Callithrix jacchus: one gene and its partner. Each later gene encodes a partner of the first gene's protein in a complex. Links are inferred from orthologs where the notes say so. Each region holds a gene or a part of one and is shown in the gene's direction. Other genes may lie near its edges. The genes, in order: PTH2R and PTH2.

The links.
Region 2: the proteins of PTH2R (region 1) and PTH2 are in contact, whole or in part, in a cryo-EM structure (PDB 7F16), measured with the Homo sapiens proteins. The link is inferred for Callithrix jacchus from reciprocal best matches to the Homo sapiens genes PTH2R and PTH2. Residues at the interface, in NP_005039.1 of Homo sapiens: Thr31, Ile32, Ile34, Gln37, Ile38, Asp68, Gly69, Leu70, Ile90, Tyr91, Asp92, Phe93, Met112, Lys117, Ala120, Tyr122, Leu126, Gln130, Pro131, Ser134, Lys137, Gln138, Phe141, Glu142, Tyr152, Arg190, Ile194, Lys197, Val201, Ile205; in NP_848544.1 of Homo sapiens: Ser62, Leu63, Ala64, Leu65, Ala66, Asp67, Asp68, Ala69, Ala70, Phe71, Arg72, Glu73, Arg74, Ala75, Arg76, Leu77, Ala79, Ala80, Leu81, Glu82, Arg83, Arg84, Trp86, Leu87, Tyr90, Met91, Lys93, Leu94, Leu95.

Annotation. Positions count from the first base shown.
Region 1 is NC_133507.1:129,919,655-129,923,470, forward strand, and holds part of PTH2R (parathyroid hormone 2 receptor), read left to right. Parts: intron 1-1,875; coding exon 1,876-1,989; intron 1,990-2,102; coding exon 2,103-2,224; intron 2,225-3,816. UniProt on the Homo sapiens protein: This is a specific receptor for parathyroid hormone. The activity of this receptor is mediated by G proteins which activate adenylyl cyclase. PTH2R may be responsible for PTH effects in a number of physiological systems.
Region 2 is NC_133523.1:43,184,773-43,188,005, reverse strand, and holds PTH2 (parathyroid hormone 2), read left to right. Parts: upstream 1-1,588; 5' UTR 1,589-1,592; coding exon 1,593-1,717; exon of another isoform or gene 1,718-2,281; coding exon 2,282-2,456; 3' UTR 2,457-2,505; downstream 2,506-3,233. UniProt on the Homo sapiens protein: Plays a role as a potent and selective agonist of PTH2R resulting in adenyl cyclase activation and intracellular calcium levels elevation. Induces protein kinase C beta activation, recruitment of beta-arrestin and PTH2R internalization.

The DNA of each region.
Region 1 (3,816 bases):
TTACAGAGTTATAATTAATGGTGCTGATTTATGAAGAGAGATTGGTGAGCCATTAGCAAATTAATTAGATCCTTGCCAAATAATGAAAGTATTTGCTCACATAGGATGGCAGTGATGATTAAGGAGAGAATGCTAGTTAAGATCTCTATTTTTTTGACTAGGCACAGTGGCTCATGGTTGTAATCCCAGCACTTTGGGAGGCTGAGACAGATGGATCACCTGAGGTCAGGAGTTTGAGACCAGCATGACCAATATGGTGAAACCCCATCTCTACTAAACATACAAAAATTAGCCTGTTATGGTGGCATGCACTTATAGTCCCAGCTACTTGGGAGGCTAAGATAGAATTGCTTGAACCTGGGAAGCGGAGGTTGCAGTGAGCCGAGATTGTGCCACTGCACTCCAGCTTGGGTGACAGAGTAAGACTCCATCTCAAAAAAATAAAACGAAACAAAACTCTATTTTCTTTTTTTTAAAATTTTATTGTATTTTGGGCTCTGGTGTACATGTGCACATCCTCCACTCTGCAGGATTGTTGCATAGGTACATACATGCCATGGTGGTTTGCTGTCTCCATCCCCCTGGCCTCCCGTGTCGTCTACATCAGGCATTTCTCCCCATGTTATCTCTCCCCATCCTCCCTGCCCTCCCTCTCCCCTTTGTTTTTCCTCCTCTCCCTTGCCCTTCACCCCCAACTCCTAGCCCAGTGAGTGGTGTTCTCCTCCCTGTGCCCAAGTGTTCTCATTGTTCATCACCCACCTACAAGAGAAAACATGTGGTGTTTGGTTTTCTGTTCTTGTGTCAATTTGCTGAGAATGATGGTTTCTAGATTCATCCATGTCTCTACAAAGGACACAAACTCATCAGGTAGGCAGCAAGGAACAACAGAAGCCTAGGAGTCATTGGCAACTGGTCCCACATAGCTCAGGAAAGCTCCCTGGGCTGCATGGAATCTCAGCTGCTCATGGACTGTGTACACCACAGCGGAGGGATCCCATCAAACAGCCCAACCCTGGTTATACACCTCAGGGAACACACGGTGCACTGGGCTAATGTCTGGAGACATCCTGTTTCTGGGAGGGTCTGGAACAGAGCCTGGACTGTTCCAGGCAGTTCTCCAGCCCTTATCTCAGCATGCTGCATTTACAGCACATTGTATAGTTATTCCTGAGAACTACAAGAAAGAGGGGCAGGGAGAATTGGGTTCTTTGATGCCACCCAGAAAATTGTCCTGCAGAAAGAAATGTTGGAATCAGGAGAACCAGTCATAGGCTGTTGCACTTATTCAGATCAGACATGAAGTGGATTGGACTATCATGGTTGCAGTGGAAGTTGTGAGAAGTGATGAAGTTGTGGATTAATCTTGAGAAGAGTAGAGTTTATGAGAATTTTGTTTGAGATGAATGTTAGACTCAAGGAAATTGCTAAAAGTATTGGCAAAAAGAGAAACCTGAGTCTTGGGGCTTACCAGTGAAGGGCACTGTTTCAGGTGTTATGTTCTTTAAAAACAGTTTTCAAGAATTGAGTGTAAAAAGGTAGCTACGACTATGGTGGTCAGAAGAACTTGACTACGGAAGTTGTTCACAATGATTTTCAATGTTTCTTGTAAATGAATTGCTATAGCCATTATAACTAGTATGCTGGAATAATTTGAATATTTTTAATGTGTGCAAAGCAAATGTTCCTATGAATGGGCCTTTGATGAAGCCACAGAGATGAATTTTGGGACGTTTGCATCGTATCTATCCTATCTAGTTTCTAAAACTACCAATTTGTTTTAATTTTACTATAGGCAATGACCTGAAATTTTGCATTTTGAATGCATTTGTTGTCTGGTTCCAACTACATTTTTGTTTATCTTTTTTTTTTCTTCAGTAGAAGGTAATTGTTTCCCTGAATGGGATGGACTCATTTGTTGGCCCAGAGGAACAGTGGGGAAAATATCGGCTGTTCCATGTCCTCCTTATATTTATGACTTCAACCATAAAGGTATTGACTTTTTCTGAAATGATTAATTTGAAACAAACATTTACTCGTCATTAGCTTTTGCTAATTGATTCTAAGGGAACTGAGTGATCTCAGCACCTTTCATGTCTTTACAGGAGTTGCTTTCCGACACTGCAACCCCAATGGAACATGGGATTTTATGCACAGCTTAAATAAAACATATGCCAATTATTCAGACTGCCTTCGCTTTCTGCAGCCAGATATCAGCATAGGAAAGGTAATGGAATTTTTCTATTTGTGAACTCCTAAGGGAAAGCAGAATGATGTTTTTGATGCAATTCTTGATTGCCAACTATTATATATAAAAACCCTCTTATTTCATGACACAGGGATCATAAAAGATAAAAGCAATGTTGCAATTTTTTCAGATGTGTATCAATTATTCTGGTATTTTCTATAGCCTAGAGCTACCTGGCTGAGATACATCATCCATACTTATAAATATACCTGTATATGTGTTATGTGTGTTATGTTACATTATGTTATGTTTACATTGCATTATATTATGCTATATTGCATATAAAAATCCCAATAGGTAGTTAGCAACATGATTCATTATTTCTTCTCGGTTACCTGTGAATGGCTACATCTCATCTGTATATTCCAGAAGGATCTTTGCATGTCAGAGGGTATTTTCCACCTCATAAGATTTACCAGTAGGTGATTTCATTAGCATATAAAAGATTAGAGTTGTAGGATTGAAAGGAGAAAGGGGCATCATATAAATCTTCCAGCATATTAATTTCACAGATGTGAGTCAACTGAGAACCAGAGATTAGGTATTGGTCAAAGTGAAATAGCTTGGTGGTAACAGGGTTTAAAGCAGAGCCTGTATGTCCTAATTTCACATCAGTGCTGTTTCCAGTATAGAAATAATATGTAAACTTTGAGATATTGTAGAGAGTGACTTTTAAGTTATAAAAATTGGTTTAAAAGGCATGTTTAAATTGATATCACTTAGACCTTGTGAGTAAAAATGCATGATGATATATGCATATAATGCTAGGGGTTAGTGTGATAAATTGTGTGTAAATTATCTTTATGTAGACCCTGAGAATAATCTATCATACATAAACTTTTCAAACTTTTGACTTATTTCTTTAGGTCTGGTAATGTTTTGAAGAGATAGGGAGGGAGAACAGCAGCAAGAGAAGTAGTGAGTTGAAGGTTTTTTTCTTTGATTTTGCATTAATAGAACTTCCTTTCTTAATTTTCTACCTTTATGAGCTCTTTAGGAATTGGTTGAAAGACTTTCAGTTTTACATTTAATTGTTGAAAAGCTTCTTAGATAAAATAAGTCAAGATGAGGAGATTGTTAGGTACTCTACAGTGGAACTAATGTCAGCATTCAGTTTAGATAAAGTGCTTCAAAATAATTTCAATCTCATTGATAGAAATAAATAGTCACAATACTTAGTGTACTCTGTGGTTATATTTATTTTTTTATTACATGATATAAAATGCAAACTTTTCAGAACTGTTAAGTGGCCATTAAATTAAACCATGGTTTAATTTATACTGAACTCTAATCTTATAACCATTTTCTGTGATTACTATTTTAAGAATAAAAATAACTAAAGATGGTTGGTGGCCATACTCAAGATATGCACTAGTTTATGTACAATGCTTTAAAAGTTAATAGAAAATTTGAAGAATTGTGTTAAAATAATTTATTTTTATCTCCTTAATTAAAAACACAAAGAACATTTTCTATTGTTTGCAACCTTTAAGTAATAATTTGGGAAAACTCAAGAAAACAAAATATCTTTAATAAGAAACCTAGATATATCCTGAAGTTTTGACACACTG
Region 2 (3,233 bases), on another chromosome or scaffold:
GATGCTGTAGCGGAGATGTGGCCCCGTTAAACTATGTTTTTGAAACCAGTGGTCCCAGCCCTCTACCCTCTCCTACCTGGAAACCCAGTGGTCTCATTCCCTGGTACCCTCCTATTTCAAGTCCTCTAAGTTTCATCCCCCAGCTCCCTCCTACCAGACCCAGAAGTCCAGGCCTCTAGCTCCTTCCTTCCTCAGATCCAGCAATCCAAGTCCCCAGCTTTCTTCTCCCCCAGAACCTGGGACTCTAGGTCCCTGTGCCAACCACTGTTAGACTCAGGAGTCCAAGCATCTGCCACCACCCTCCTTAAGAGCCCAAGTTCCCACATCCCAGATAGCTGCTGCTCTGTAGGACTTCCAAGTTTTTCTCATCTCCTCCTCACTGTGCATAGAGACTCCTCTTTTTTTTGAAAGAGAGTCTTGCTCTGTTGCCCAGGCTGGAGTGTAGTGGTGTGATCTCAGCTCACTGCAACTTCTGCCTCCTGGGTTCAAGCGATTCTAATGCCTCAACCTCCCGAGTAGCTGGAATTACAGGTGCCCACCACTACATCTAGCATAATTTTTGTATTTTTGTAGAAATGGGGTTTCGCCATGTTGGCCAGGCTGGTCTCGAACTCCTGACATCAAGTCATCTGCCCACCTCGGTCTTCCAAAAGTGCTGGGATTACAGGCGTGAGCCATCGTGCCTGACTGAGGCCCCTCTCAAGAGTCAGTGTGAGGAGGACTGGGCATTAATCTTTACAGCACCCTAAACTCCCCCCAGATAAGGGCTTAGATGCATCCTTAGGGCAGCTCGGGAATCCCGTCTCTTCCCCTCTTCATGCTCTCTCTGTGCCTTTTCTGATGTTTGCCTGTCACTTTTCCTGTCCTTGCACCCCTGCCACATGTACCTTTTGCCATCTCTTGCCTTTTCCTCCTCTCTGTCTCGCTCTCAATCTTTCTGGTGTCTCCCTGCTGGATTTATCTGTGGCAGCTCTGTCCAGCCTAGGATGTCCTTCCGTTTCCATCTGTCTTTCTGCGAGCCTTTTCCTTCATTCCTCCATCTCCATCTGATTGTTCGTTTCCGTCTCCTTCCCTCTCTGTTCTTGCTTTCTTCCTTTTTATTTCTTTTTGTGTCATTCCCTTTCTTACTCTATTTCCTCCTTGGCCACTCTGTCTTTGTCCTTCTCTTTGTGTCTCTGTTTCTCTGACGGTCCTTCCGCCAGTCTCTATTTTTATCCCTCTGACACACCCCCTGTGTCCACCTCTCTGTCTGTCTGTCTCTCCCCCTCCCTCGTCTCAGGTCCAGCTTTTGGTCCCAATTAGTTGGTGGCGGCCAAGGCATCGGCAGGTCCCCCACCCCCGGCTCCTCATTACCGCTGGCGGCTCCTAATGAGCCTGGGGAGGGGGTGACCCCGCGCCCCCGGCCCCCCGGCCTGCGTCACTGCTCGGCGCGGGGGCTGCGGAGGCGATATAAGGGGGCTGCCAGCGCCGCTGCCCGAGCCCACTGCGCGGTAGGGGGCCGTGCGGGAAGCTGAGGGTGGGTGCATGGTGGGGTCCGGGGTTCTGGGCCGGGATGCCGCCCCACTGAGCCCCTTTCTGGTTCTCCACAGGTGATGGAGGCCCGCCAGGTGTCCACGAGCCCTCGGGTTCGGCGGCTGCTGCTGCTCCTGCTGCTGGTGGTGCCCTGGGGCGTCCGCACTGTCTCGGGAGTCGCCCTGCCCCCCGCCGGGGTCCTCAGGTAGGTGCCAGGCCCAGGACTCCCAGGGAAGGGTGGGGACTTGGAGAAGTGGGAAGAGAACCAAAGAGAAAGGCGGAGGAAGACCCAGACAGGGGGACAGAAACCCAAAGAGAGGGTGACCAAGACCCAGCGAGAAAGAGACTAGCAGTGGGGAAACACCGGAGGGGGGTTTGCTGGTGGTAATGGTGCGGGAAACGGACAGAGAATCAGCAAGAGAAAGAGACAGAAAGACAGATCCTGAGAAAGGCGTGGAGAGGCTCGAAAGGAGTAGATGCAGAAAGGGATTCATCCTTTGAGCAACATTTATTGGGTTCTTGGTGCGCTCCTGGCCATGCGCCGAGCGCTGGGGGCGGACAGGTGCATCAGACTGGCTCTCAGTACCCAGGGAGTTTCGAACCTGGTGAGTAGAGGGGCAGAGACCCACACAGAGAACGAGAGAGACAGGGGGAGCCAGACCGAGCCACTCCACGGACAGGGCAGTAACAGGGCTTCGAGTTAGACAGCGGGGAGGACAGGCGGCGGCGAGCGCGGGTCTGGACGCGCGGTCGTCGCGTCTCTCCACAGCCTCCGCACCCCAGGACGGGCTTGGGTGGATCCCGCCACCCCCCGGCCGCGGAGGAGCCTGGCGCTGGCGGACGACGCGGCCTTCCGGGAGCGCGCGCGGTTGCTGGCCGCCCTCCAGCGCCGCCACTGGCTGAACTCGTACATGCACAAGCTGCTGGTGCTGGACGCGCCCTGAGCGCGCCGCCCGTCCCCGCTTTAATAAAGACCCTGCCGTGCGCTCCGGACTGCGACTCGTTCCTATGCGACCTGCATGTGTGTTGGATTGGGGGGCGGGGCGGGAAAGGAGGGAATAGAAAAGAGACAGGACTCTGTGTCGGCCACTCTGGCATCTCTCCCTTCAGTTCCCTCTATTATAATCTTTCCTCAATTCAGTTTCTCTGCCTTGGTCTTTCTCTGTCCAGGCAGCTGGCTTCTTTCCTATTTCTGGATATTTGCTTCCCTACCGCCCCCCGCCCCAGCTCTGTTGTCTCAGTTCACTCTGGGCCCCCGTCCCACCCTATCCCCATCTCTGCCCCCTTTTCTCTGGTTCTCTGTAATCTCCAAGGTCTCTGTCCCCCTCTGTCTCTGCCCCCTTATCTGGGTCTTTTTCCTCTCTGGGTGTGGGTCCTCGTCTTTTTGAGTCCTTGTAGGAATCTCCCCTATCACCCTCTTGGCTTCCGAGTCTTCTGCCTCCTCTCTCTATTCTCTTTCTGCCTTTGAAACTCTTCCTTCCCTTCTCCATTACTTTCTTTTTTCCTTTTTCCTCTGCCCGACTCCTTCATATCTTCCTTTTTGGTTTTTTCTTCCCCTCCTTTGGGTTTCTGTCTCTCCACCGGCTCTCATCTTTAAATTTCGCGGTTCCTCCCTCCCATCACTTCCACATTTCTCTCCAGGCACAGTGGAAAAAAGATTGCGGGGCTCTGGTGTGAGGCAGCCCTGACATCCAAACCCAGGGTCCTCCAAATCTAGCTGC